3 linked regions of the Coturnix japonica genome follow. The protein of the gene in region 3 interacts with the protein of the main gene of each other region in a biochemical or structural test. Links are inferred from orthologs where the notes say so. Each region holds a gene or a part of one and is shown on either strand. Other genes may lie near its edges.

Region 1 (9,876 bases), on a different chromosome or scaffold from region 3:
CGTTCCCCTCCCTACCAAGCACTTCAAGGCACGCTGGTGGGCTCTGGGCATGCTCTTCCCGGTCCCAATCCCTGGTGTCATCTCTGCATCCATCCAGGTGAAGCGACGCTCCAAGCGAGGGCAGGTGGGCACGGTGCAGGTTGGTGTGGAGACCTATGGAGGAGGCATCTGGAACACATGGTTTGACCGTGACCTCACTGTGGCAGGAAGGGTGATCGTCAAGGTGAGCCCGGCTGGGGGCTGTGGGGTAAAACACGCTGCTGCTCCTGCCACCTCTGAGTCCTGCAGACCTGGCCCAGTGAGGCAGCTTAATGGTCCTGCTGGTATTTCAGGAGCCAAACACAGGGCGACTGGAGCAGCGGCTGGTGTGTGTGGAACGGCCCATTCTCCGCATCCCCCATCTGGCCATCCATCTGCAGCGCAGCATCAATGAGAACTTTGGACCCAACACCGAGCACCACCTGTAAGGCCTGGCTCGATCCTCACAGCTGCAGCGGTGCCCAGCCCCTGTTCTATCCCTCATTGCAGTGGGGTGGACAACAATGGCTTCACTTATAGTGAAGGGCTTGGGGATTAGCACTGGGGTGTCCTAAGGTGGCACAGTAGGTCTGTGCTTTAAGTTTAGAGTGTCCTTGCTCCATTCAGCCAGTCCCCAAGGGGTAAGCAATGGCCTGGCAGCTGCTGACACTGTCTCCCCACAGGGTTCCCATACTGGCTACTGCTGTGCAGGAGGAGCTGGAAAAAGAACCATCCACAGAGCGCACAGCTGGCGTTGCTGCAGCCCAGGTGAGTGGGTTCCTAAGGACAAGGGGGAGGCTCACTAAGGTCTCTCACATGCCATCTTTTGATCTCTAGTCCTCAGAGCTCCCTGCCAGCAAGTTCTCGTCCTTCCCATTCACAGCTACTTGCTCTCAGCTCCACTCAGAACCACTTACACAGCACATGTGCTCCACTGTTGTCTGTTCCCACCCTAGCCTGCATTCATCCTAAAGAAAAGTGGAAATCCCCCATAAAGCTGTCATGTATGGCCCCCCCTTTTCTCTCAGAGGAGGGAGGGGAGGTTGAACAATGGGAGAGAGCCCCTCACTATGCCCTGTGAGCACCACTGCTGCCCTTTGTGGGTTGAGTGCTCAGATGCAGAGTATGTGAGTAGACAGGAAGCCTAGGACTGCAGTGTGAGGAAGGAATGGGAAAGTTTCTCTGCCATCCATCACTTTGCACTGCCCACAGCTCTGCTGTTTTCCCAGACAGAGAGACACAGCCCTGTCCTGCTTTCCCTGCTCTGCTCCCAGCTGGGAGTGAAACCAGAGCAGATTGTGGAGCTGGAATTATGCCTGGCGGATACGCAGCCAGCGGTGAGTACAACAGAGCCTCCTTCTACCTGTATGCAACATGCCTGCAGGCTGGCACTGCCCAGCTCCCATGCACAGCACGCTTCCTCTGCCTGGGGCATGCAGGGCTGGGAGCTGAACCGACTGAAAGGAAATGCCTTCTAGGGGGCAGAGGTGGGGACTGGGCTGGAGACACATCACACCTGCTCTTTGTTGTCCCCAAACCTGTGCCCTACTCCTTGTTCTTTGACTGCAGACTCTTGGTGGTGCCTTTGATGAGTTCATCTTCTCCCCACGTCTGGACAACTTGCACAGCTGCTACTGTGCTCTGCAGGTGAGAGAAGGAAGGAAGGAGCCTTGGGGCTTTGTCATGGCCCTCTTGTGTCTTGACTTAGCTTTGCTGGTCTGTTAGCTGGGTCCTGTTGCAGGGATCCTTGCTCGTCAAAGGGCCTGGGGTTGGACAGTGGCTGCCCCCTTGTGCTGGGTGTGTGGCATTCCTAGCATCTCCAATGTACCCACAGCTCCTTTCCTTGGTGCCTTAGACTTTCCTGGGGATGTTCCAGCCAGTTCAGTGCTGAGCTTCCTAGGATGGGGTGGCACTTACGCTAGTGCTCCTTCTCCTCCTCTGTCTCTCCAGGCACTGATTGACTCGTGCACAGCTCCCTCCCTCTCCCAGGAGCCCAACGTGCGCCTCATTGCACTCTATGACAACGAGGAGGTGAGGGGCATAGCCGTGGGGCAGCTGGCACACACAGGGGCTCTGTGTTCTGTTCTCCTTCCACCAATGATTAGGACTTACATCCCAGCCACCCATGGAGCACCATAGGGTTTGCTCACCCCACCCTGGGCCTGGCAGGGAGTGAGTTGGAAGCCTCTTTGCTGGGTGTGGGGAGCTTGCTATCCCTCAGCTGACATGGAGCGCTGGAGGTGGCTGGGGTGTTGCTGGGTGGGTTGTGCTGATGGTCTTCCTGGCAGGTAGGGTCAGAGAGTGCGCAGGGTGCCGAGTCCCTTCTGACAGAGCTGGTGCTGCGTCGAATCTCAGCATCACCACAAAACCTGACAGCCTTTGAGGAGGCTGTGGCCAAGTCCTACATGATCAGTGCTGACATGGCCCATGCGGTGCACCCTAACTACGTGTGAGTACTCTGAACCCTGCCACGTTGCACGTGGGGACGCATCTTTTGCACTCCTGCTGGCGTAGTGGCAGGACAGTTCTTGTAATGGGGATTGCAGCATGAAACTCCTTCTCTTTTGCAGGGACAAGCATGAGGAAAATCATCGGCCAGCCTTCCACAAGGTGAGCGCAGCCTTCTGCTTTGTGCCAGACCTGCTGCCATCTGTCTGTTCAGCAGTGAAACACACAGACACTGCCCAGAGTGCAACTTGGCAGCAGTTTCACAGGAGACCTTTGTCCTGCCACACAATGCACTTGTGCCACATTGCTGGAGTTAATTACATAGAACCACAGCCCTATCTGTGGACATCTCCCTTGGCTTAGAGCTGGGGCTGTTCACTTGTAGGATCCAGGGGGTGGCACAGCATTTCTGACTGTGGGTCTCTCCTGGGCACTGGGCACTTAGAACTATGTAAGTAATAGAGTGTGTCCCTGTGCCATAGCTCTGCATCTTCTCTTTCGCAGGGCCCTGTCATCAAAGTGAACAGCAATCAGCGCTACGCCTCCACAGCTGTCACTGAGGCAGTCATCCGGGACATCGCGGCCCGTGTGGGTGTTCCCCTGCAGGTGAGCACAGCTGGGTGAGCACAGCTCCATCACCAGTTCCTGCTGAAGCCGGGTGCTGGAGGGCAGGACCAGTATCAGGAACTTAACTCTCTGCTACTGTACTTATGCCTGCTGGTGTCTGCAGTGCCCTGCTGTGCCAGGTGACCTGATGAGCAAGCTCAGGGTATAGCAGGGAGTGCGGGTCTGACCTGACCTGTCTGAAGCTCTCTGGGGGCTTTAGCATCTTAGCATCCAGACTGTGCAGCTCCCCCATCCCAGTGTGTCTCCCATTAGGACTAACCCTTCTGGGAGTCACTTGGGAGGCCGTGTGGCTCTGGGAGCAGCTGCCCACCCCATGTCTCCACTATGCAGGAGTTCATGGTGCGCAATGACACCCCATGTGGCACCACCATCGGCCCCATTCTGGCCTCCCGCCTGGGGCTGCGCGTGCTGGACATCGGCTGCCCGCAGTTGGCCATGCACTCCATCCGAGAGATGTGCTGCACCTCGGGCGTGCTGCAGAGCATCACTCTCTTCAAGGTAAGCCCCAAATCCCCTCTGCTCCCCTTCAGCCCTATTGGGAGGGCTCCCCACTGCACCGGGGCAGTGCAGCAGTACCAGAGGTGCTCCTTGCCTCTCCGCCATCCGTTCCAGCCTTCCCTGCTGCCTGCCATCCCCAAATGGTTCCTATGGTAACTTGCCTTGAGTCACTGCTGGGTTTCTATGGTGATGCAGCCCTGCTCCGTGCAGCTGCTTGCTACACATCACCCAGCAGGGAGCTGCTCCCCGTGCCCTGATGGCCTTTCTCCCTTCAGGGCTTCTTTGAGCTCCTGCCGGTGGTCAGCAGCAGCCTGGTGGTCGACTGAGCGCGATGAGAGGAAGGTTATGGGGTTCAATCCTGATTAAAGCATCTCTGTCTCAACTGGGAGTGGTTGTGTGTCCAGCTGGGGATGGGGAGGAACAGCTGCGGCTCCGGGAGCTGCTGTGAGTGTTGTAATGAAGGATGGCCTTGTGCCTCTGCTATAGGCTCAGTGCTCCCACCATCACAGCCGGGGAGCTCCGTTCCAGCCCCGCTGTGCTGTGCCGGCCTAACACGGGGGGCGATCATCGCGGGGGGCGTGGTGCGGCGGGGTGGGCGCTATTGGAGGGGCGGTGGCGGTGGGCGGTGCTGGCGGCGGGGCGCGGGTTGGCGGCGGCGGCGGCGGGGGCGCGGCCGGTGTGTGCGCCATGGTGCGGCCGTGAGCGGAGCATGGGGCGGCGGCTGCTCCGGGCGCTCCTCTGCCTCCTCCTCGTGGCCGGCCGCGGGCTGATAAGGGTCGGAGGCGCCACCGCCGCGCACGGTGAGAGCGGGGGGCTCCGGGAGTGGGCGGCGGCACCGCCCGGCCGGCGTTCATGAGGCTATCGGGTGGGGCAAAGGGATGCCGGACGGCGGGGGACGGGAGCCGCGGTGCCGTCACGACGCGGCGGGTCCGGCCCCGGTAACGGCAGAGCGGCGCCGTGCATCACCCGCACCGGGAGCGCCTCTGCCCGGGCTGCTGGGCCGGTGAACGGGATCCCCAGGGCGCTCCCTGACTGCGGACTTGCGGCGTCCGGCAGGACGGAACGGGAGCGGGGCGATGCTCCTCCGGACACCCAGCCTGGCGGGCGCTGCGGGGCCCGGCTCCGGGATATGGCAACGAGAACGGGGAGCGGGGCAGCGTCCCCGCGCGGTGGCTTCCTGCAGGACCCCGGTGCCCTTTAGCCGCCCTCCTCCGGTAGGCGCTGCCCGGGACCCCCGAGCGGGCTGGTACGCTGTCTGAGCGCTTCAGCTCGGCCCGCGTCTCCTTTCCCGGAGCTCTGGGGGTACCGGGGGCCCTTACCGGCAGCAGGGCTGGAGCCCCCCCGCAAGGGCTCGGCGGCCGCTGACTCACTGCCGGTGGGCAGTTGCCGCTCCGTCCATCCGCTCCCAGGCAACGGACCCTCGCAGCCACCCGGCTGAGTATGGGCAGATCGCTCCCCGCTCCCCGGGGCGGCCCCGCGCGGTTCTGCCATCCCAGGGAGCGGCTGCGGCCGAGCCCTGCCCGGCCCGGGGTTCCTCCCCGGCGCGGAGCGGGGCTGCCCGGCGGAACGCGGCTCCGTCGTTTCAGCACCACGGACAGCGCCCGGTCCGCCGCCCGGTCCCGGCGCCCCCGGCCCGGAGCCCCCCGGTGCCGCCCGCGCTTCCCTGCGCCCCGCGCCTCGTTCCGCTCCCACCCGGGGAGCAGGCGCTGGGCACCCAGCGGGTACCGGCCTTTTGGGGACCCCCTCCCCACTTGCCCCGGCGCGGGCTCGGCGGGCCCCTCCCTCCCCTCCCCCCGGTTGTTTTCTCGTTCCTTCCTCGCCATCCGGGGCTGAGTCATCGCTTGCTGCCGTCTCGCTGCTGACGGTCTTGGACCGAGATGCGGGGGGAGGAAGGGGGATGCAGCCCCCCAAAAAGGGGTGGGGGCCTCATCACACCGTGCCTTGGGGCACCCCGTGCTGGGAGAGCAGGTCCCCCCATACCGCAAGGTGCAGGGCCGTGCCCTCCTCTCGTAGTGCCACATGTAGGAGGGTGAGAAACGATCCCGCAGCTCGCTGCCCCTTCCCCGCTGCCAGCACCCCACAAAGCTCCAGGCTCCCCCCCTTCCCAGAGCCAGGAACAGGCTGTGCTGAGGCCCTACCCTGGGCTCCTCCACTGCCACTTCCCTGTGGAGCTGGGGCCCCAAGCAGGTGGCTGCCCTGCTAGTGATGAGCAAACAACACTGAGCTCCCCTTGCTGACTGTGCTGGGTCTGTCTGTCTGTCTGCCCCAGGCTGTCTGTTTGACCGGAGGCTGTGCTCCCCGCAGGAGGTGTGTGTGCAGGGTGAGTGCCTACAGAAGAGTCCCTGGTCCTGCTCTATCCTTGTGTGGGGCAGGAGGCAGGTGGGGCTTTACCACCCAGTCCCATTTCCCCACCGCCCCTCTCTCTTGCAGATGGGCTGTTCGGGCAGTGCCAGGTGGGCTCAGTGCAGGACAGACCGCACTTTCAGGTCACCTCCCCTGTGCTGCAGCGCCTACAGGATGTCCTGTGGCACCTCATGGCACAAGGTGAGGGCTGGGGAGGCATGGCCATGGGTTGGGTAGCATTGCACAGAGACACCATGGAGACCAGGGATATTTGGGGTACCGCTGGTTGGGAACCGGGCTGAGGCGAGGAGGGACTAAGCTGGCTCTGGGAGGGACAGGGATGACCTGAAGCTCAAGGTAGCTCCCCATCTCATGGCACCCTTCCACCGCAGGGCTTTCGTGGCAGGACGGCATCACACAGTACGTAATCTCACAGGAGATGGAGCGCATCCCCCGCCTCCGCCCACCGCCCTCGCTGGAACCCTCGCCAAGGGACAGGTAGGGCAGGGTGGGGTGGGAGGCACAGCAGGGCTGGGAGCTGAGCCCACGTGCCATCCCTCACTGCTTGTCCCAAGGTCCCTGCCTCTGCGCAGCTCCCCCCGGCGCACCCCACAGCCCTTGGCCCCTGGCCTGCCTGCAGCCCAGCACCTGGGGCAGCCCCCACCACTGCTGCCCTCGGGCCTGGCTCAGCGCTACCTGGAGCACCTGCTGCTGCCCCCGCCGCCCCAGCTGGGTTACGAGGAGGCCCTGCTGCACCCCTACTCCTACCACAAGGTACACAGCAGGGTGAGGATCCTCTCGCAACCCCTTCTCCCTGTGCTGGGGTGTGCAGTGGGTGCTGACCCAAGGCTGTGGTTTGCTTGCAGTTTGGCTACCAGGACACCACGCACCAGCTCCCAGGTGGCTCGGCCAGGCAGGGCCCCGATGCCGCTTCACTGCTGGTCCGTGGGCTGTATGGGGCTGGCCCCATGCCCTCCTACAGTGGGCAGCCAGGGGCAGAAGGTGGGCACCTCTTCCAGGATCTGGGCCTGCTTGCACTGCCCAGGGAGAAAGCTGTTCGCATGGACCCAGCCAGCACCAGGACTCTGCACAGTGCACGGCTCCCAGGTGACTACAAGGATGTGGGGCAGCGGGATCAGGCAGCACCCATGGCTGCCTGGCCATCCCCTGCACAGACAGGTACACATCCCTTGGGCCTGGAGCTCTCTGTCCCATTTGCCCCCCATTGCCCAAACCCCCAACCCACGGCACCACTTGGGTGCAGAGCTCTCACCAAATGCCGCATCCCCTTGCAGATGCCTCCCTGAAGAGACTGGCCTCCCTGCTGGCTAGCTATGGGCTGGGACTGCCCGAGCTCAGTCCCCAGCAGCTCAGCAGTGTCTCTGCCCTTCTGCAGCTTCTGCAGAGCTCCGGTGAGCAGGATGCAGGGTCCCACAGTGCTTGGATAGAGGGTGCGGGGTGCTTGCCCTCCTTTGGGATCCCCATCCTTCTCTTTCCCAGGTGCTGCCAGCCCTGAAGCACCCACAGCAAAGCGGCTCAGTGTTCAGCAGGGAGCTGCTGGGCCACAGGTGGGCTGTGTGTGTGGGGGGGAAGAGGGTGTAGCCTCCCAAGGTGACTTCCTGAGGGTCCCAGCTCCTCCCTGTCTCCCCTCTATAGGTGTCAGAGGGGGACATGCAGCATGGAGAGGAGCCAGTGCCTCCCTCCTCCGCGGTGCCACCTCCCAGGGTCACAGCCAGCAGTGCCCCAGCACAGGGGCTGGGGGGCCAGGCAGCCACCTTGCCAGCCCCCCAGGCCCAGCCACAGAGGGGGCATGGAGGGGATGAGATGATGGCAGTGGAGAAGAAGAGCTACACAGAGGCGAAGGACGGCGGTGGGGCGCAGCGGGGCACGCGGCCACCCGATGAGTATGGCTACATCATCACAGACCAGAAGTGAGAGTGGGGCCGGGGCACTGTGCAGACCCCATCCCCAGCACTGGAGCCACGTGCCCCCCTCACCCTGCCTTGTTCCCTGCAGGCCGCTGGGGCTGGCTGCTGGTGTGCGACTGCTGGAGCTCCTGGCCAAGCGTGTGCACCTTTCTACCACCAGCTTCATCAACATCAGGTGAGAGCAACACAGTGCTGCCTGGGGGTGGGATGGGCTCTGTGCCCTGCTCTCACCCTGTGTCCCCCACAGTGTCGTGGGGCCTGCGCTCACCTTCCGTGTGCGGCACAATGCCCAGAACCTCTCGCTGGCAGATGTGGCCAGCCGGGCTGGTGAGTGCTGGGTTGGGGATCCCTTCTCCTACACACCTGTTTCCCCTCTTCTCCAGGGGCTGAAAGGGGGGTGTGGGTCTCAGGAAGAGAGGGCTCCTACCATACGCCCTAGTGCTGTTGGCTGAGCTGGGGACCTGGGGCATGGTGGGCAGCTGTTGGGGTGTTCTCAGACTCCTGGAGTTTCCTTGGCCAAGGGGAAGCATCCCACTGACTGTCTGTCCCCATCCACAGGCCAAATGAAGGCAGAGCTGGAGGCTGAGCTGGGCCTGAAGATTGTGCAGACGGGAGTGGGAGAGGTAGGACCAGAGCATGGGGGCTTAAGGCTGGGATGGGGCTGCAGGGAACTGGGAGCTGCGGGGGCTACAGATGGTGCTGGGGCCACTGATGGCCCCACATGAGGCTCTGATGGGGGCTTTATGTTGGGAGCATTCTGTTCACACTCCACAGCATGATGCTGCTTGTGGGTTTGGGGCACTTAGCTCTTAGTAAAACACAAACCCATGGGGTCTGAAGGCATTTTGGGAGGACGTTCCCCCTCCATCCAGGACTTGGCTCATCCCCAGCCTCGCTTCCCTCCAGTCTTTATTTATTCCCTGGGCACGCCAGCCCTGTGCTGAGCACCCTGGGGACTAGGCAGGGAAAATGCCATCGTCCCTGCAGGGAACAACACGGCAGCTGGAGGCAGGGATGGAGCAGCAGCCATCTGCTGGGAGAGAGCCTCACTCCCCTGGGGCCACAGGAGCCATCCCATGGGGGATAGGGATAGGGACAGAGCCTGTGTTTGCAGCTGAGGAAGGGCACAGCGAACCCCTGGACCAGGGTCCCTATTCCCACCCTCCTGCCCTGGAGACCCCTTGGGAGGAAGGCTGCCGAGGCAACTGATCTCCATCAGCCCCATGCACAGTGCCATGACGGCAGTGCCTTTAGATGTGACAAGGATTCAGGAGGGATGGGGTCTGCAGCTCTGGCAGTGCTTCCCTAATGAGCAGGGCCCCCCAAAGGGAGTTGTTTGCACTGAGGGATGAGGTCCTTGTGCTGAACACCCCCAGGGCAGGGGACAGCAAGCGCTAGGCCTGGCACTGCCCCAGCAATAGGTGCAGACAGCAGGGGCATCCCCAGGCTTCGTAGGCGATGATGATGATGATGATAACAGTGACGCAGCGTCCCCTCGGTAACCTCATCAGGCCCGTGGCCAATGGGAAGCCGAGGCAGTGAGGTAATGCAGGGCTTTGGCATCTCATTGGGTGCAGAGGATTTGGTGGTGGGGCTGCCCGAGCATCCTCTCCACCCTTGGATCTCAGGAAGGACCTTGGGGGGCTCGGCCTTGGGGGTCTTGGTCTCATTCAGCGAGGGCTCAGCACCCTCCTGGTCTAGCATAGGGGCTGAAAGGCCAAGGAGGGCCTGGGGTTCAAGCTCTTGGGTTGGGTCAGGCAGGGGCTCACTGAGCCCAGGCTCTGAGGGCCCCCACCTGCCCTGCGGTCTAGCAGGGCTGGGAGGCAGTCCCTAGTACTGGGAGCAACAGGTGGCTGCTGCTTGAGCTTGTCCAAGCTGTGCACCTCCTGCACCCCAAGGGGCAGAGCTGTGAGCTGTGCTAAGTATAGGTACAAGTGCCCCATGCAGGGACACCAGCTCTGCCCCCACTGAGCTGAGGAGTGGCACAGCTCCAAGCATCCTCCCACTGCTTTAG
Region 2 (9,323 bases), on a different chromosome or scaffold from region 3:
ACACTCACTGTGCTTAGAGCAGCTGCTCCCCATTCCCTACACAGTTTGCCCCCCTCCCTGGCCCAGAGCACTGCTGCACACTCACAACCAACTTGACGTGCTTCGCTAAATCTTTGGAGCTCCCTGTGAGGAAGTCGGAGAAAGCCGTCTGTCAAGGCAAGAGACAGAGTTAGTGCCCAGACACTCACTGAAGTGGGTATCCAGGAAGCCTGCCACCCACCTTCAAACCCCAGCTGCTGAGAAGAGTAAACCCTCTCCCCGTTGACTGGCAGAAGCCCTCTTCTCTCACCCTCCCAAAACAACCTGATGCATTCCTCTTGCCAGTTTGCCTACCAAAAACCTTGGGACACCTCACAGCTTCAGTAACACACCCAAGCATTCCTTGCCAGCTCAGTCCCTGTTTCAGGGAAGGTGGGTTTTCTCTACTGAGACACTTGGGTTACGGGAGACAATTTCAGTTTCAAGCATAACACTGATATGACTATTTAGAGATAACAGGATAGGGGAGATAGGTGGGAGATGTGAGATGGTGCAGAGCAGCACTTGGCCTTCAGTACTGATAAAATACCAGTCACCCCACCACTCGGGTAGGAAGGTATACTGTGGGTGAGGGGACAGACAAATAGTTAAGACAATAAGATGCAAAGCTCTGGAAGGCATAATTAGCCAGGGAGCTGCAAATGGCTCAAGGTTTAAAAAAATAAAAGACCAAAGTAGCCTGAGGACTCTATAGAATGGCTTCCCCCTTCCCTGCGGGAGGGCCAGCCTTCCTGAGAACAATAGTGGCAGGAGATCAAGGGAGCAACTGTACCACAGGCCAGAGAGGAAGCTGCAGCACCAGCAGTGTCTGCAGCCAGGCAGAGCTGCAGCTCCCAGTGCTGCAAACCTTCTCCAGCACCTCTCCAGCTTCAGGGACAGGGCTCAGCTTAGGTGTATACAAAAGCCACAGTAATTCAGAGGAGTGAAATGAGGTAATGGACAGGAGCTGGGGCCATGCCTATGTTCCAGCTGAATCCACATGGGCATGCCTAGATATCCTCATGCACTCACCCCAGCATAGAACATTTTATTCCGAAACCGACTGTTGAACTTCTCTGGATTGGCCTCTAAGGAAAGGAGAAAAAATATCCAAGTCATTGGCCTGAACATGTAAATATTTTCCTCGCTTGCTCTCCCCAAACATCGCTCTCCAGCCAGCCTTGGCCAGGACAGTTCCCAGCTCACTGCCATTGCACACATCCCTCTTTCCCTCAACAATTCCTCTCATCCCTCTGATTTCACCTCTGTTCTGGTATCAGTTCTCTTGTCTACTTTTCTGAGGAGCATTTATGATGTGTCTCAGAGGTGTCCCTGACTGCAGACACACTGCAGCCCTGCTGCACCCTGATGCCACGTACCTCTGGATTCATGAAATTCCAGCGTCACCCGCGCGTCAAAACCAAGGCTAAAGTAGTTATTAAAGACATCCAAGGGAAGCTGAAATGGAAGAGAGGAACAAGGTTGGAAATCCTCATGCTGGCAGAATGAGGCTGCCAGTGTGTGGCCACTGCAAAGACAAGGCAGTCATGCACTGTGCTCACGAGGGTGAGTGGGAACTAGCCGTCCCTCCAGGACATCATAGAGGTGACCAGTCTGAGGTGGTGGGCCAGCTCTTTTCTGCTGTTCTGTCCTCAGTGGCCTCATGGCATTGGACAGGCCTCAAGGCAGGACAGGCAGTGTCCAGGCACAGGAGTTGCATGGGCTTATGGCAGCACCCAGCCCACCCACTGCCCTGCATAAGAGTAGCAGACACTCCTGTGGAACAGGGAACAAAGGCAGAGAGGAGATGTTTCACCTTGTCAGCAGCTGCCTCATCCTTTTCCTCAGGGTTTGCTTCAGGATTTGCTTCCACATGGAGGTTCCAGCGATCAAGCTGCACAATGTTCCCATCTTCCACATGTGACAAGATCTTGGACAGAGGCTCATCTGTGTAACCCTAGTGAAGAAGAGAACCCGGTGAGTTTTCTATCTGCCTCCCAGGGGTGTCTCAGAGACAGTGGACTGTGGAAAACATCTCAGAGGAAAGTATGTGAAAAAGAGTTTCTACTTGAATGCACAACATCCAAACGGGACTTTACATTTAAAAACAATGCATCTTCATTCTAGAAATCTCCCAAACGTTTGAAAAAAATTATTGCCTTTATTAATGTTCTAATATATTATAATCTAATTCAGAATAATTTGAATGTCAGAAGAACAGTAATGTCCAAAAGGCACTTATTATTTTTTGGTCTGCATTTAGGAAAAGTTGGTGCAGATGCACCAGACGAAGTACTCTGTCCAGCTCCAGCCCTGGCCATGGTTGGCTCTTCTGCCTGTCACTTACCCCACCCCAGTTCAGAGTCCTGGCCAAGTCATTGCCTGTCCCCAACGGCAGGATGGCCACAGGAGGAGGTGGGTTGAGGCGCAGCTGGTCTAGAATGGAGAGTATCCAGCCCACCTGTGAAAGAGAGTGAAGAGGAATAGTTGGTTATTTCAGAGAACAAGAAGCAGGTGAAGGTGATGTGGAGCACTAGCCATAGCCAAAGAGGCAGAGACAGGATTCCCTTGCTACTACAGAGACTATTCACATTCTTTAATACTTCATATGGGTGCAGCAGGAGATACAAGCAGCCCCAACGGGGACACTGTCCCCCTGAATGGGCCACAAATGCAGACACTCCACACAGCTAGACCACCTGGGACCTGTGCATGAGGGGATCTACAGCAGCCAGTGCTACCAGCTGTATCACAGACACAATGTGTATGTTTTTGCCTTGTTCTGAACTACAGTGAGAAGGGCTGCCAAAAAGGTATTGCAAAGGGTAGTGTGGGTGTGAAGAGGCTGGGGGACTCACCGTGCCATCTCCCCCACATGCCAGGATCCGTAGGTTGTGGACCTTGCGGTACAACTCCAGCCTGTGGAAAGCAAGAAAAGTGAGGAGGGGAGGGCACAGACACTGAGACTGCAGCCAGGAAAAGGTGTTACTGCAGGAGTAAACTGAAATACAGCAAACAGTACTCACGCCTCCTTGGGACCGCCCTGGCTGAGGTCGAAAACTTGCCGTGGGTTGAGATACCACATGAAGGACTGGATGATCTTGGCTCCCTAGGGGGATAAGAAAGATTTCAGGTAACAAGCAGTGAACAGTGGGAAGAAAGCCTGGTGACAAGTCAATACAGAGGTGTTCTGGGATACTCAGGCAAAGTCTGGGTTAAGAGGGCAGCACTGGAAGCAAACAGACAGCAAAGGTTTCTTTTCCCTTTTGCAGCTGACACATTACCAAAACTGTTCTGAGCTCTCAGTAGCCAATGGCAAAGAGCTGCCTTCTCAGGAAGATGAAGGGCAAGGCCATACCTGATTCCCACCACTCTTGGGGTTCACAAACACCAGCAACGGCTTCATGAGAGGAGCTGGCATGGGTTTGATGACAAAAGGTTTCCACCTCCCTTCCTGCAAGAAACACCGCAGGTCCATTAACAGACTTAGTGAAATGCAAACTCCTACCTCCAGCTGAGCCCTAACATCACATAGGTTAGGAGTGGAAGGAAGAGAATATCCTCACCACTCCATAAACCTAATAGCTAAGATATGCCTTGCCAGCAAACATAACTCACCTCCCAGCCTTTCTCATCTCTGTGACACCCTCTGAGATCTTCAGACACTCCCAAAACACTCTTTGTCCCAGACCCCTTTTCCTCTACCTTATACCTCAGTGCAGACCCTGAAAAGAGCCCTTATTTCCCAGTTCTGCTCCTCACTGTCCAGCACCTCTACCTTTCCAACACAAGGTCACCCCCAGCCCCTCTTATCTCTTACCTCAGCACCCTTTTTGCTCAATTTTCTCTTGAATGATGTCCTCTTCTTTTTCTTACTGGATTTCATTGGATTCTGAAAAAAAAAAAACGAAACCCAAACACTATAGAGGAACTGCTGGGTAAACAGGAGCCATGCAAAAACACATGAACTGATATGCCTTACCTGGGGCCGTCGGACCCGCAAAATCCAGGTGGGAGGAACGACGACAGCAGCATGAGCCCCTAGTGAGCAGGGCTCTTCGATGTGTTGCAGCATGAAACAGGACACTTTGCTGTGATACTGGAGAAGCAGAGAGACAGAGAAAACTCAGCCTACTCCATTTCTCCTTCCAGCTGCCCTGTGCCAGTGAAAGGAGAGCTGCAGGAAATGATGCAGGAGTTTTGTAATGGAAAGGCTTCTCCTAGGAGGCACTAAGAAAGCTTCCCATAGCAGCTCCCAGCTATGTTGGTAAGAGTAGCTGTAGTGGCAGGCTGCAGAGGATAAGCCTGGGGGTTCCCAGCAAAAAGCAGAGGTCATTAGAGCAGATATTCAATGGGGCTTTGCTCACCGCTTGCTTGCACCAAGAACAGCTGATGGCTACAATCTCCTTACTGTGGAAGGCAAACTTCTGCTGGAAACCCTGCAGAGAGAAGGATAAGAGGCTTAGGGAATTCCCTTACAGCTTTTCACCGTCCAGAAGGGCTTTCCAAGATACATAAACAAAGAGAACATGCCTGCAGCTGCAGCCCTCTAGATCCCTGTCAGATAACCCCAACCACCACACTACAGCACCAGGGAGGTTGCTGTGCTCTTTGCAGGAGCATCTATATTGCCTAGGAATAGTGAGTCGGGAGGAATGGTGAGTCCCCTCTAGGACTGATGGGGCCCAGGGGGAGAACAACTTTGTACGAGTAGCACTTATGTAGTGCTTCACTGTGTGAAACAGGCCATGAGTCTTGGTTTAGCTATAGGCTGCTCCTACCTAGCAGGAATAGCGTTATGTTAGGCAGGAATTCTTTTACTTCCCAGTCCTGCTATTGCCCCTTGTTTGATCTTAGCTCCCCTTCAGGCTGAGGAAAAACACACCAAGAAGCCTCTCACCTTGCCACACTGCCGGCATTTCCCTTCCTGTCGCCTCCGATGCACCCAGTGATGCCGGACAACTATGGGCTAAAGGGAAAATATAAAGAAAAAAAAAGTGAAAGTCCCAATGCATACAAAGACACAGGAACAGGCAAGAGAAACAGACACAGGCCAGCCAGAACCTCTGCTCTTGCAGTAAGCCTGCTGCCCATCTGCACCAGCACCTAACCTCTAAGAAGGCAAAGCCAAAGAACTTAGGGGCACAAGACCAAATTGTGGTGCTCACAAAAGAGGAAATTAAATCAAAACAAGATAAAACAAAGAACCAAATCAGAAAGGAAGCATCAGAAATTGAAGATAGAATCACAGAAAGCGAACAACAGAGTGGGTAAGCAGTAGACTATAACGTTACTCTGGCCATAAATCACATCTTTATCTCTTAATATCTCTGACCAGATGACATGAAGTGAAGGGTAGAAAAGATGCCAGTGCAAAGTGAAAATCCCCAGTGAGACACAGTTTCTGCACACAGCAAGATGATGGGAGTGCCTGCAGCCAAGTCAACTGCCTGCTCCTAGCAACAGTATTTTTCAAGGAAAGAAGTAGCCCCAAAGCCCCCATGCCTTCTCCCCGAATAAAATCCTGCTGACCTGCTGTAAGGAGAGGAACAGAATTGCTCATGGGTACCTTCTCCCTGCCCACAGCCTCACTGATGGTAGAAGAACGGATACCTTACAGTGTAGTCTTTGAGTATTGTAGGGGGACTGACCCAGGCAGCCAAAATTCTGGAAGAATGCTTTTCTATGTTAATGGGAGGCCCCTAGGTAAACTGAGGAGTATTGGAAAGAGGCTGGAGGATGAGCTACAAAGGCTGGCAGGTGCTTCGCCAGTGCAGCTCAGCAGAGAGGTCCCAGGTCTCAGCTTGCACCCACTACATTACAGCGCAGACAAAACAGGTCTAACAGCACCACCATGGGCACCTTCCATCGCTGTATGGAGCACCCGTAGCATCCAGGGCAAAGCTGAGCAATAAAGCAAGAAATGAGCCTGCACTGCCCCCTGCCAATCCATGGGAAACTTGGGGAACTGCTGCTTGCCACAGCCTCCTCTATTGACTTGGACATCAGCAAAGGAAAGGTCCTTTGCCCCTCTCAGGAAAACCTGTTTGCATGTTCCTCCCATGCAGATACAGGAGCTAGATAACATGCAAAGCAGCAGATGCTTTGTCTTTTGCTTGCAGTCTCCTCTCTTCTTACACTCAGACTGTACTGCTGCTTGGCAAGGAAGTATTCTTTACTGCACCTCCCCTCTGGAGCCAGAAGGCAGAGCAATGCCAGCACTTTGACAGGCAGCACGCTGGCAGCAGTTGATCCCTTTGCAACCAAACTGTAAAGGCAACAGCTCAGCCATAGGCAGCATCCAAGGCTCATGTCTCACCTCCCGTACGTTCCGAGATCCTGACTCCCTGAAGGAAGGTTTGCAGCGGAAATTTATCTGTGGATTGAATACATATGATAGGAATCAGTAAAATCACCACCAAGAGGAAACCTACTGGAGTTTATTTTACTATAGCAGAACCTCTGGCAATGTTCAGTGCTTGACTGCAAAACCCACCACCTCTGTCGCCACACAAAATGGGTCCAGGGGTCCCAGTTGAGTAATTAGCGCTCCTTTTGGTACTGTCTCCTCATAGGACCCCTCCTTCCAGCAACACATTTCAGTTTCCAACCCTCCTATGCTACCCCAGAGAGATGAATGGCCAGTATCAGACTGTCAGAGCTTTGCAAGCCACAGAGAGGGCTTAACAGGTTTTACTCACTTTCTCCAGCTGTTCTATGCAGGGTGTATGCACTATGATCTTGCATGCTGCACACTTACGCCTGGAGAGAGGTTTTTGCTGGAGGATGAGAAAATGGGAGGAAAAACATGCATGTGAACAGCAGGGTAAGGAGGCCAGAAACTCAACCACTTCTCACACTTCCTTCATACATTTCAGGATGTAAAAATCAAGTACAGGAGTTTCATACAATCTAGACACCTCGCCAGTTACAGGATCTAAGTATGTGCCTAGAGCAGATGCTCCTGAGTCTGCAGCACAACAGGGAAGTGCTCTCCCACTGACAAAGCAGTCCTTGGCTCTTCTGACACTGCCAGAGAACAACATAGGACATTGTTTGGGAAGCATGTTCGTGGTCTGGCCCAGAGCTTTGGCTCATCCAGAGGCACTATGAGGCTAGGGGGCAGGCACACGGTAGCATCAGTGCTGCACATCCAGCACCATGAGCAGGATTGAGTCTGCAAGCAGGGAGAGAGAAGTGCAGCTATGCTGCTGCAAGGCCTGTTGGGGCTCCAGTACAGCATGCAGGGACAGGAGACAGCAGACCTGGATCTCCACTCATTCTTCCCCTCTGTTGTAAGTTTTTTCCAGAGAAGCTGAATTCAGATTCTTCCGCTAAGCATGTGTGATCCCAACAACCTCTCCCTGCAGTGACCTGCAGCTGCATGCAGCCCTGCACTGGGCACCTGCTGCAAACTGAATGGCAGCACTGGCAGACACTGGGCATGCAGCGCTGCAGCACACAGAGACGGAGGAACACGTCTTGCCAGCCCCCCAGTTCTCCCAGCACCAGGGCCTTCTGGGTCTCTCCGCTGGGTGGCAGCACAGCACGCAGCTGAGGAGCACGCAGGGGATGCGGCTGACCCCAGGCGACTTACCAGCAGCTTGGCCATGCAGTTCTGCTCCCCGACATAGCAGAAATCCCCAGAGACATTGGTCTCAAACCAGATGTGCTCCCCATAGACTGCAGTCTCCTGAAAGACACAAGACAACGTGCTCCTCTGAGCATCCTCAAATGATCACCCTGTCCCAAACTGCTTTGTGCCAGGGACAAGTTATGGTGGCACAGTGAAGGCCATAGAAGTGTCAAAGCCGAAGTCACTTTGGAAGCCCGCTGCATCCTGGCCAGGAGCCTGTCCCACACAACGCCCAGCAACACACACCACCACTTACGCTCCAGTCCACAGTGCTGCGTATCTGCCTCTCTGACTCGTTCCTCAGCGCTAGTGCAGGGTTTGGCTGGGCTACCATGTGCTGGAGGCTGGACTTGGCAATAGCTTTCCTGGAAAACATGGGAAGGCCAGCTGTTAGATCAGGAGAGGAAGAATGGCGTGTCAAAGCCCACCGGGCTGTCAGGTAAAAGCCCCGGGGTGCTTCCCCAGAATGTTGTGGAGCCTGAAGAAGCCTTCCCTGGTACACATAGCCCTGCCCATCCCTCCCTGCCCACCACATCCCCCCTTCCCAAAGCATTGCCTCCTGCGCACCGCCATACATACAGCAGCCTGGGGCTCCAGCCGTCGGGGCAGCAGGCTGATTCTGGTCCCAAGCACTCGGGGAGGGCAGCCCCTGTGCACTGCTGGGCCAGCCACTGCGTGTGAGTGGTGGCCAGCAGTCCAGGCCAGAGGACATTGCTGGAGCGGCGGCGCTGGCTGAGGCGACGGTAGCGGCCCGGCAGGCCATGGGGAGCCCGGCTGCAGCCAACGTCAGTGGGCAGGCAGTGGGAGGATGTGCGGCGCAGGCAGCGAGGGCCCCGTGTCAGCAGCCTGACCTGCAGCGGCCGCAGCCGTGGCAATACGCTCAGCCAGCTCTCCTCGGCCCACCACCTGCCCCGATCCAACCTGCCATCGCCATCCTCTGCAGACCAGGAGCTGGAGGCATCCCCGGCACCCTCCTGCCCGGTGGGGAGGAGGCCGGCCAGCAGCACGGAGGGCCCCAGCAGTGTGGCACTGATGGCTGGCGGGCAGCCCCCGCGCTGCTGCACGGCAAAGCGGGGGCTGAGGCACGGCGGTGTGGTGCTGGAGCGACGGCGGGGACCACGGCGGCGGGGCAGGGGCAAACAGGACAGGGCTGGCAGCGGGGCCCCCGAGCCACGACGGCGCTGGGCCAGTGAAGCGGAGGGCAGCCCAGCCTGGGAGCGGCGGCGGGCCTTGCCCGTGGGCACTGCCAGCACACTGGCACGACGTGGGCCTGGCAGCCCCTTCTTCCCAAAGTGCCTCTTAAAAAACGTTTCCATTGTGCCTGGCGGTGGGGCGCTGGCTGTTGACACAGAAAGCAGGAGTTAAATAGGCTGCCCACAGATCTGTGGGGCTGGCGATGGCCCCACGTCTGCAAAGCAGGCAGAACAGCTGAGCTGAGAGCTGGGTGCTATGGTGTTGGGTCCAGTCCCTGAGACCCACTGGGAGCATCTGGGCCTCTCTAGTTCAAAGCAAAGCTCTTCCTTAAGGCAGTCTATGCTTATTTTCACAACTTAGCCTGACGAAAACACCCTCAGAATCACATGTGAGATCGCTCCACGGATGAGCTCCTGCCCTAGCAAGGCCATCCCTACTCACTGCCCCATGCTATTTGCTCCACTGGTGCTGGCAC
Region 3 (10,031 bases):
GGACCCATCTGGAGCATGGCTGCCAATGGTGATGGCACGCGGCTGGCGGTGAGAGCAGGGATGAGGACGGCAGCAGGAATGGGGGCTGCGATGGCAGAGGAGCTGCCGCCCCCAGGAGCTGATCCTTACCACCCCATTCCCCAGGTTGGCTGTGAGGATGGCTCGGTGAAGCTCTTCCAGGTGGTACCTGGCGGTGTTCAGTTTGAGAAGAACCTGGACCAACAGAAAGGTGAGTGTGGGGGGCTTTAGGGTCATCCCCTTGTCTGCTCCTTGTGCCATCCTGGCCACCAAGAGGCTGCTGTGCCTCGGCACACACCTGGAGCTTCCATCTCCACAGGCCGTGTGCTGTGTCTCTCCTGGCACCCCTCGGGGACCCACCTGGCAGCTGGCTCCATCGACTTCATCCGTGTGCTTGATGTCCACTCAGGTAATGAACCGCCCCACAAAGGGGCATCGCTCCTTGGAGCAGCCCCTGGGGTGTCCCCTGTGCCGGGGCGCTGTCAGCAGCCACAGCTCTGTGCTTTGGGACTCCTGCTTGGCACCAACACAGCTCCCAGCCTGGGAGTCCTGCGGTGCACAGGGCACAGGGAAAGGATGAAGTGAGGAGCCTGAGGTCATCCCACTCGCTCTCCATCTTGAACAACCCTTCCCTACCTCAGGCCGAACCGCCCAGAGGATCATGGTGAACCATCACGTGCCGAAGTCCAAGAAGCGCGAGTGCGTGGTGTGGAGCATCGCCTTCCTGGCCAGTGGCACCGTCGTCAGCTCGGACTCATTTGGGAGGGTGCAGTTCTGGGACTGGGAGCGAGGGACGCTGCAGGACTCCCACACTGTCAACACCTCAGCTGCCCTCTCGCTGGCTGTGTCGGAGGTGAGGTCACCCTGGGCCAGGACGGCGGTGCCAGCACCCAGGTGGCATCCAGCACTGTGCCCTGGTCGCCACAGCCCTCTCTTTCTCCAGAAAGAGGACAGCATCATGGTGGGCACCTCGGCGGGGTCCACCTACCAGATCCAGCTGCTGCCGGTGAAGGCAGGCAGCCAGGAGAAGCGCTGGGTGAGGACGAAGCCGTTCCAACATCACACCCACGACGTGCGAGCTGTGGTGCACACCCCGACAGCTCTCATCTCTGGAGGTGCGGGCTGTGAGGGGGAGCTCAGCGGGTGGTGTCCCCCCCCTCCAATAGCTGCTTGTCTGAGCTCTGCTTGGTTTCCAGGCCTGGACGCCCAGCTGGTGATCCGCCCGCTCATGGAGAAGGTGCAGAAGAAGAGCTACGATGCAGTGCTGCGGAAGTTCACCCTTCCCCACGTGAGTATGGCTCTAAGCAGGGTCCTGTGGCGGCTCCTGGGGGCACAAGGTGAGCTCTGAGGGAGCAGCCAGGCCCTGCCTGCCCCACTGGCCCTGGCATGCCTGCGGGTTCCTGTAATGCAGTGAAATGGAGAGTGGAACTGAGTTGATGAGCCTGTCCTGCTGGTCCTGCTGCGGCTCCCTCTCCTGGTTCTCATCCCACAGAACCTAAGTTGTTTCTCACCAGCAGCCCAGGTTGTTTCTCCCAGGCTGTGGTCCATGACAACGTGCCCATTTCTGCCCACAGCGACGCCTCGTCTCCTGTGCCAGGAAAGCCCGGCTCCTCCTCTTCCAGTTCTCCCAGCACCTGGAGCTCTGGAGACTTGGCTCTACTAATAAAACTGGTACGTCTGCGGGTGGCTGTTGGGTACAGACCTCTGTATTTAACCCCAGGGCAGTGTCTGGAGGACTACAGGGTGCAGTGTGCCAGAGCAGCAGAGGAGTGGTGCAGCCCTACTCTGCTTATGGTTGTGTTACCCAGTGCACGGTGTGTTACACAGTGCACAGCCATGGTGCTACTGGCAATGTACTCTTCCTGCTGAGCTGGATGGTGCCCTGGGGAGCTCAGCCTCAAGATGGCTGGGGAAGGGTCTGGATCCATCCTGGTGTCTGGTACCACTCTCCCTGGGTTTCCTGTCTTTCTTACTGGGGTCTGCATGGTTTCTGTTGTTGCTGATGCTTAGTTGTCATCCCAGGAAAGGATGGAGAGGTCCTTCCCGTGAGCCGGATGCCAGAGCACCTCCTGCAGCTCAAGAGCAAGGTAAGGCTGAACTGGGGCTGGCACTTGTGCTTGGCACCTCTGCTTCCTCTGATGGCCAAACTGCAGGTGCCAGGAGGTTCTGCAGACCCCATTCAGCACCTCTACATCCCCAGGGTCCCGAGCACATCTACTGCAGCTGCGTCTCACCCTGCGGCAGCTGGATTGCCTACAGCACTGCCTCTCGCTTCCACCTCTACCACGTGCAGCATGAGGGCGACAGCGTCAGCGTCAAGAAGGTGGAGGCTGGGGAGGCTCACAGGGAGCTGGGGGCTGTTAGTGGCACAGTGTGTGGGTCAGCAGCAGCGTGACCGCCGGTGTTGCCTTCTCCCCCTGCAAGGTCCCTGGTGTGCCCAAGCTGCTGCTCCCAGCCTACCAGCTGCAGTGTGCTTCCGACTCAGGAAGGCTCTTCATCGCCTCCGACAGAGGCTCTGTCCATGTGCTGCAGCTGCTGGAACCGGGGGGCTGCAAACACCTGCACACGCTGCGCCCGCCTGCAGGTGGGGAGCCCTGGGGCCCCTGTGGGCACATGGCTGAGGCTGCTGCCCTCGGTCTGGGACACTTTGGAGTGGTTGAAGAGTTTCTTGTGTCTGTGTAGCATTTGTGTGTGGTGTTGTTCAGGGACCCGGGAAGCTGTCTACCTGCTGGCATCGAGCGCTGATGGGAACTGGCTGGCAGCGGTCAGCGGGGACTGGGAGGTGCACATCTACAGCCTGAAACACTTCAAGGTACAGGCAGGGCTCTGTGTGGGGCCCCCCGTGGTGTCCCATGGGCACTGGGGGAGGACCTGGTGGGTGTCAGAGGGCACGTGGGGCAGCGTTGTCCTTCTGCCTTTCAGCACCACTGCACAGTGCCCACCTACAGCTGCGCAGTGACAGCCCTCGCCATCCACCCAACCACCAACAACCTTTTTATCTCCTATTCGGACCAGCAGGTGGGAGCTGTGCCCTCAGCAGCCCTGTGCTGCTTGGGACCGGCTGTGTGCTGCCATTGGGCTGATGATGGGGACCCATCTTTTTTTCCTCCGCAGCTTTTTGAGTTCAGCATCCCCGAGAAGCAATACACGGCCTGGAGCCGCGCGGTGCAGAACAGCGGGCTGCACAGGCTGTGGCTGGAGAGGGACTCCCCCATCATCCACATCGCCTTCAACCCCAAGAACGCGTCGCAGGTCCTGCTGCACGACGTCTACATGCTGTGTGTCCTCGATAAATCCCTGGTGAGCCGAGAAGGGCCCCACTGGAGCGTGCTCTGCAGGGGCTGCTCGTGTGGGCACAAAGGGAAGGGCAGGGGGTGTGCAGCACTGCAGGGGGTGTGCGGGGCTTAGTGCAGAGCTGCAGCACTGACAGCAGCACTGACAGCAGCACTGACAGCAGCTGTGCCCGCAGCCCCTGCCCGACAACAAGACCATGCTGTCCAACCAGAGCACCCTGAAGCAGCTCTCAGAGCCCGCCCGGCGCCGGCAGCTCCACGCCTTCAAGATCTGCAAGAAGTTCCAGGTGGGCAGCTGTGCCAATGTGTGCAGCTCATCCTTGGGGGCGCCCTGAGCACCGCCCCGGGCCGGGCTCCCCGTGTTCCCGGTGCTCACCCCGTTGGTTGTGCTCACCCCGTTGGTTGTGCTCACCCAGTTGTGCTCACACTGTTGTGCTCACCCGGTTGTGTTCACCCGTTGTTCCCGCAGCCGCTGCTGTTCGCGGACCTCCTGGACGAGCGCTGCCTGGTGACGGTGGAGCGTCCCGCCGTGGACATTTGCCCGGAGCTTCCCCCGCCGGTGCAGCAGCAGAAGTTCGGCACTTAGCCCCGCTCCATCAATAAACGCGCTGTTCTCGTCCTTACCGTCAGCGCTCAGCTCCGCCCCGCGTCCCCCGCCCGCGCCATGGAGTCCCGCCACCGCCTCCCCCTCCGTCCAATCGGAACGCGGGAAGCCGCCCCCGCCCCGCCCCTCGCGCCGCGCGCAGCCAATGGCGTCCCGCCATGCGGGCGGGGGGCGTGTCCTGGCGGTGGGGCCCGTGTCGGGGCGGCGCGGCGCGGCGGTGTCGGCATGGCCGTGTGGACGCGCGCGTGCAAGGCGGGGCTGCTGGAGCTGCTGCTGCGGGAGCGCTGGGTGCGGGTGGCGGCCGAGCTGAGCGGGGACGCGCTGAGTCTCACGGCCGAGCCCGGGGAACCCGGCCCGGGGCTCAACGGCGTCGCCAACGGCGGCGGAGAGTGGGGCGGCGCGGAGGCGGCCGTGCCCGGCTGCGTGCGGAGGGTGCGGGTGGTGAAGGCGGAGGCGGGCGGGCTCGGCATCAGCATCAAGGGCGGCCGCGAGAACCGCATGCCCGTGCTCATCTCCCGCATCTTCCCGGGGCTGGCGGCGGAGCGGAGCGGCGCGCTGAGGCTGGGCGATGCCATCCTGGCCGTCAACGGCACCGACCTGCGGGATGCCACCCACGACCAGGCGGCGGAGGCGCTGAAACGCGCCGGGAGGGAGGTGATCCTGGAAGGTACCGGCCCCGCGTCCCACCCCCCCAACCCCCGTCCCGCTCCCCGCCCCGGGCTGCCCTCAACCCGGCCGTGTCGGAGCCCGCTCCCTGTTGCCGTGCTCCCGGGGCTGGCAGCGGTGCCCCGGGCCCGGCGCTGCTCCCCGCGGTGCCCGCCCTGATGCTCCGCACGGGACTCGGTGCCCGCCGAGCTCCGGCTCCTGCCCGACCTGTTCCCGGCAACCTGGGGCGGGACCTGCCGGTGCGGCGCTGCCGGTGCCACCGGTGTCAGCGCGCTGCCACCCCCGCGTCCCGTCCTGATGTCCACCGGGGCCGCGTGCCGGTGCGAGGGCGGGTGCGGATTTGTGTGGCTCAGCTGCCCCCGCTGGGTCCGGGGCACCGGGGGACGAGGAGGAGATGAGCCGAGTTTGGGGCTGGGAAGAGCGCGCAGAGGCAGACAGCATCGCCCCGTGGATGTGGGTTGGGTCCCCGGCCAGCCAGGAGTGCTGACGCTGAGCCCTGTCCCTGCTCTCCAGCCCTGGGCTTCACTTGCAGGCAGCTGTGCTGGCCGCCATCAGCACAGCGGAGCAGAGCCCTGCCCTGTCCTGGGTGGGAGCTGGGAGCTGAGCTCTGGGCCCACAGGGACCTCGGTGCTGGGCAGGGAGTTTGGAAAGAGGAAGGAGGTCTGTGAGAGGAAACCCACACGTATGGGTGGGGAAACCACTCCGGTGCTTTTGGGAGGGGGCTGGTAATGTTGGGCTGCGAATGGGGGTCTGGGCTCTGCTGAGAGCCCTGTGGGTGAGCCCAGGGTGCAGCGGCCTTCCTGCAGAGAGCTGTGAGGGTGCAGCAGTGCTGGGTTTCCTTTGTGGTGAGCGTGTAGGCGTGCTGTGCCATGACAGCCGTGCTGGGACACAGCTCAGCTGGTGAAGCTGCATGTGCCGCTGCCCCCTGTGCTGCACCACACCGGTACGGCAGCTCCATGCCCTGCCTGGAGCACTGCCCCCAGCAGCATCTCCCAGCTGTTCTGCCTCTGCTGCTGCCTGTGGTTCGGTGCTGGGATACGTTTCCTGCAGTGGCCACGGTTGTACAGCCCAGCAGTGTCTGTACTGTCTTGGCCACAGCAAGGGCAGGAAAACCACCAGGTTGACTGCACCAGCACCACCCACCCAAGCATTTGGAACGTTTTGGTTGCACATCTGGTGCTGTATGGGTTCCCCAAGGACTGCAGGGTGCCCTGTGCAAGCCATGGGAGGTGGGCATGAAGGATTCATCCAGCAGCTCCCGCTTCGGGCTCAGAATCCTGCCCAGGGAGTTTCAGGGATGTGGTTGCCTGTGCTGCCGGTTGCCAGCAGCACGGCTCAGAGCACAAAGGGCTCAGCGCTCACTCCTGGGCAGGGAGCAGCAGCCCCAGCGCTCTGCTCTCCATCCCCAGCCCCAGCTGCAGGCTGCCAACATCTGGCTGCCAGCTGTGAGCCGCCTCAGGGGCTGCCGCCGGCGGAGCCCCCGTCCACAACCATCCATCCCAGGCGCTGCCCTGCCCGTGGGGATTAGAGGTGCGTGGGGAAGGAGTAATCCGGGGATAAGCGCGGCGGGAGCTAATATTATCTCCTGGTGCCCGCAGCAAGGGCAGCGCATCCCGTCCAGCTGTGTGCCGGCTCAGCAGCACCGGGCGCCCCGCGGAGCTCCCACCACGGCCTCTCACCGTCTCCTGCGTGCGGGGAGCTGCGCTTCACAGCTGTTTCACAGCAGATTACCGCTTACTCGCTGCTTTTTTTCGCTTTAATTCCCTGCTGCCCTGCGGCCGTTCCCTCCCTGCTGAGGGGGCTCCGCTCTCTGGCTGGGCCGCCCGCTGCTCGGCGTCACCCCCCGCTCTGTGCTCTGGCACGCAGCGCTCCCAGCATCTGGAACGCATTGTGTTGGCTGTCCCTGAACGTGACAGCGGGGAGCGGCGCGGTGACGGGACGGCACTCGGCGAGTGAAGGATTTTGGTTTCCTGGCGCCTACCATGTGTTTGGGGAGGGATGGTCCGCGGGGACCCGGAGTGATGCGTCCTTCCTTCCTCCCAGCCCGGAGAGGAGCGCGGGGCCGGGACGTGCTGGCTGCAGGCACCATCCCGGGGCCGTGATCGCCTGCGGCGCTGGAAACTTGGCCGCAGCGTGCGGCTGGGTGGGCAGGATGGGCAGGATGGGCTGCAGGCTGACCTCCCGCCCGCACCATTGTGCCGCACCGCCGAGCCCTTCCGATCCCCGCATCCCGATGGCAGCGGGGTGGGCCCCGTGGGCCTTTGGTTCCCGGCAGGGGTCGGCACTGGTGTGACCCCGCGTGGCCCCTCTTCCCCCCACCCTAACAGCGACCCCCTGTGTCCGCAGTGAAGTTCATGCGGGAGGTGACGCCCTACATGAAGAAGCCGTCGCTGGTGTCGGACCTGCCCTGGGAAGGGGCTGCCCCGCAGTCACCCAGCCTGAGCGGCAGCGAGGACTCGGGATCGCCCCAGCACCACGGCGCCCGTGACCGCAAGGTCATCCCGCTGAAGATGTGCTTTGCTGCAAGGAACCTCAGCATGCCCGACCTGGAGAACCGGTGAGCAGGCGGCGTTCGGGAAGCGCTTGGCACGTGTCTCTGTGCCCCCATCCCGGCCCCATTGCTGGCAGCACGCCTGCAGCCGGGCTGGCCCCGTCCCAGCGCCCCGTATCCCCACAGGCTGATCGAGCTGCACTCGCCAGACAGCAGGAACACGCTGATCCTGCGCTGCAAGGACACGGCCACCGCACACTCCTGGTTCACAGCACTGCATGCCAACATCACGGCGCTGCTGCCGCAGGTGCTGGCGGAGCTCAACGCCGCACTGGGTGGCACAGCCGGGGGCCGGGAGGTGAAGCACGTCGCGTGGCTGGCAGAGCAGGTACGGGTCTGTGCTCTGTGTATTGGGGGATGCCATCCCTGGGTGGCACCGTGATGCTGGGGAGGTGGCGGCTGGAGCTGCCCTGTCACTGAGCTCCTCATCCAGGCACGGCTGGATGGTGGGCGGCAGCAGTGGCGGCCGGTGCTGATGGCGGTGACGGAGAAGGATCTGCTGCTGTACGATGCCATGCCCTGGACGCGCGATGCGTGGGCCTCGCCGTGCCACAGCTACCCGCTGGTGGCCACCAGGTACCGGGATGGGGACTCCTGCAGGAGCTGACCCCTCACATGGGATGGATGCAGCACCGATGTCCCCCTCCCGTCCCCAGGTTGGTGCATTCAGGCTCAGGCCGCCGCTCGCCCTCGCTGGGCTCCGAGCTGACCTTCGCCACACGGACGGGCTCACGGCAGGGCATTGAGATGCACGTCTTCCGTGTGGAGACTCACCGGGACCTGTCCTGCTGGACGCGGGTGCTGGTGCAGGGCTGCCATGCTGCTGCTGAGCTCATCAAGGAGGTGTCTGTGGGTGAGTGCACAGCAGCACCGGGGCTCTGCCCGTGGGACAGGGAGTCCCCAGCGGTGATGGTGGTGTGCTGCATGATGGTGGCGTGCTGCATGATGGTGGTGTGCTGCATGATGGTGGTGTGCTGCATGATGGTGGTGTGCTGTATGATGGTGGTGTGCTGCATGATGGTGGTGTGCTGTATGATGGTGGCGTGCTGCATGATGGTGGTGTGCTGCATGATGGCGTCTGTGCCTCCTCCAATGCTTGGGGAAGTGTTGGGGTGTCTGGTCTGACTGCAGCCAGGTGCTGGGGGCAGAACCAAAGCCGTTCCTGTTCCTGCAGGCTGCACGCTGGGCGGCCAGGAGGTGAAGCTCTGCATTCACTACGAGGGCGGCTTCACCATCTGCCGCGATGAGGCGGGCGGCAGCGTCCTGTACCGCTACCCCTATGAAAAGCTGAAGTTGTCAGCGGACGACGGCATCAGGACCCTCTATCTGGACTTTGGAGGCCCAGAGGGGGAACTGGTGAGGAGGGACCCCTATCCCGGCGTGCCGTAGGACTCGGGCTGCCCCCACGCTGTGACAACGTTCTCCCTTTCCCTCCACAGGCGCTGGACCTGCACTCCTGCCCCAAGCCCATCGTCTTCGTGCTGCACACCTTCCTCTCGGCCAAAGTCACCCGCATGGGGCTGCTGGTGTAGGTGACGGCCCTGCCCCCCCCAGCTGCCTCCACAACACAAAGCAGCCGGGGAAACATGGAGCCCCCACCGCTGCCTGCCTCTCCGGTGCCTTGGGGTGGGGGCTCCTCTTCTGTGGCTCAGGGGGAGCTCAGCGTTATCCCCCGTCCCCAAAAGCCATCTCTGATCTCACCACCTGTGCCTTGCGGCGGGGCCGCTGCTCCCCCCAGGGGCTTCACTGCGTGTTCCTCCCCCAGGTGGGACCATGTTGGGCATCATTTGTCCCCCCTGGGAGACTTGTCTTAAAAATGTGGGCACTGGGGGCACTCTGGGACCTGGCGCTGTGGTGCCGGTATGGGCAGGGGGCTCAGTCCCTGCCGTGCTGCGATCACAGGGCGGGTGCTCCCCAAGCTCTCAGAGTCTGCAAACGAGCGCTGTTCCCTCCTGGGCTGGGGGCACAGCGGGACCCCTCTGGGCCTCGTGGCTTTGGGGAGGGATACGTAGATCGATGCACTTTTGCTTTTTGTACTTTACCTCTGCCCCTGGCAGGGGATGGTGCTGCTGGGGGATCCGCTGCGCCCCGGCCCAACTCCTCTGCAAACGTTTCTGCTTCCCACGGGCTGTGCCGGGAGGGCCTGGGCTGCAGAGTCCCCACCCAGCACAGCCCTTCTATTTTTGTACTCTTTGTAAATCGCTATTTATACAGACTGGTCATGTGTGGGGTTTGTGATCGGCACTGCGGGGAGCGGCCGTGGGGGGCTGTGATCCATGGGCTGTGATTGATCTATGGGCTGTGATTGATCCATGGGCTGTTATTGATCCATGGGCTGTGATTGATCTATGGGCTGTGATTGATCCATGGGCTGTGATTGATCCATGGGCTGTGGGCCCTGTGGGTGGTGGGTGCTGTGTGTATGTGGGTTGTTTTTTTGCTGTGGGTGCTGTCTGTGCTGCACATATACACATACATACACACACATACACACACACACACACATGCTGCACACACACTCACTGTTCATGCTGTCTTTGCATAGATGCCTGCAGGAATACACACACGTGTGCTGTTTATATGCTGTTTTGTGGTTGCACTGTGTATGGTCCGCAGTGTGTGTACATGGACACACCTGTATACATGGATCCATCTATATACATACGTACGTGTGCACACACGTTGCACACGCAGTTCGGGCTGTGCACAGACAGCAGCTCTGCATTGCATACAGTGAGCAGAGCAGCAGGTAGCGCACACACACACACACACACACACACACACATATATGTGTATGTACCCCCGCAGTCTGTGAGGTGTGTGTGCACTGTGAGCCCACACAGCGCCGTGTTGGCGCAGAGCCGCGATCTCGGCCGTTCACATCCCGCTGCTCCCGGTG

Evidence for each region.
Region 1: the proteins of SNTB2 (region 3) and PTPRN form a complex in vitro, tested with the Homo sapiens proteins (2 studies listed by BioGRID and IntAct). The link is inferred for Coturnix japonica from reciprocal best matches to the Homo sapiens genes SNTB2 and PTPRN.
Region 2: the proteins of SNTB2 (region 3) and DGKZ form a complex in vitro, tested with the Homo sapiens proteins (2 studies listed by BioGRID and IntAct, with this or other methods). The link is inferred for Coturnix japonica from reciprocal best matches to the Homo sapiens genes SNTB2 and DGKZ.

The regions. Positions count from the first base shown.
Region 1 is NC_029522.1:24,536,080-24,545,955, reverse strand, and holds the start of PTPRN (receptor-type tyrosine-protein phosphatase-like N), read left to right. Parts: upstream 1-4,243; 5' UTR 4,244-4,300; coding exon 4,301-4,391; intron 4,392-5,860; coding exon 5,861-5,911; intron 5,912-6,021; coding exon 6,022-6,135; intron 6,136-6,326; coding exon 6,327-6,432; intron 6,433-6,509; coding exon 6,510-6,708; coding exon of another isoform or gene 6,709-6,720; intron 6,721-6,800; coding exon 6,801-7,113; intron 7,114-7,229; coding exon 7,230-7,346; intron 7,347-7,434; coding exon 7,435-7,502; intron 7,503-7,590; coding exon 7,591-7,865; intron 7,866-7,950; coding exon 7,951-8,037; intron 8,038-8,109; coding exon 8,110-8,189; intron 8,190-8,420; coding exon 8,421-8,485; intron 8,486-9,876. Other genes in the region: DNPEP (aspartyl aminopeptidase), read left to right, coding at 98-223, 333-463, 702-786, 1,248-1,355, 1,588-1,665, 1,969-2,049, 2,307-2,467, 2,589-2,628 and 3 more. UniProt on the Homo sapiens protein: Plays a role in vesicle-mediated secretory processes. Required for normal accumulation of secretory vesicles in hippocampus, pituitary and pancreatic islets.
Region 2 is NC_029520.1:21,137,372-21,146,694, forward strand, and holds part of DGKZ (diacylglycerol kinase zeta), read right to left. Parts: 5' UTR 8,971-9,323; coding exon 8,234-8,970; intron 8,020-8,233; coding exon 7,911-8,019; intron 7,712-7,910; coding exon 7,616-7,711; intron 6,798-7,615; coding exon 6,720-6,797; intron 6,395-6,719; coding exon 6,338-6,394; intron 4,988-6,337; coding exon 4,919-4,987; intron 4,458-4,918; coding exon 4,386-4,457; intron 4,118-4,385; coding exon 3,839-4,117; intron 3,473-3,838; coding exon 3,377-3,472; intron 3,128-3,376; coding exon 3,045-3,127; intron 2,938-3,044; coding exon 2,877-2,937; intron 2,480-2,876; coding exon 2,366-2,479; intron 1,976-2,365; coding exon 1,835-1,975; intron 1,477-1,834; coding exon 1,398-1,476; intron 1,107-1,397; coding exon 1,051-1,106; intron 149-1,050; coding exon 86-148; intron 1-85. UniProt on the Homo sapiens protein: Diacylglycerol kinase that converts diacylglycerol/DAG into phosphatidic acid/phosphatidate/PA and regulates the respective levels of these two bioactive lipids.
Region 3 is NC_029526.1:16,869,537-16,879,567, forward strand, and holds SNTB2 (beta-2-syntrophin), read left to right. Parts: upstream 1-3,954; 5' UTR 3,955-3,975; coding exon 3,976-4,582; intron 4,583-6,421; exon of another isoform or gene 6,422-6,427; intron 6,428-6,927; coding exon 6,928-7,138; intron 7,139-7,258; coding exon 7,259-7,460; intron 7,461-7,565; coding exon 7,566-7,708; intron 7,709-7,788; coding exon 7,789-7,985; intron 7,986-8,306; coding exon 8,307-8,488; intron 8,489-8,571; coding exon 8,572-8,664; 3' UTR 8,665-9,347; downstream 9,348-10,031. Other genes in the region: UTP4 (U3 small nucleolar RNA-associated protein 4 homolog), read left to right, coding at 1-48, 145-229, 338-427, 660-871, 962-1,133, 1,215-1,306, 1,593-1,689, 2,041-2,105 and 7 more. UniProt on the Homo sapiens protein: Adapter protein that binds to and probably organizes the subcellular localization of a variety of membrane proteins. May link various receptors to the actin cytoskeleton and the dystrophin glycoprotein complex.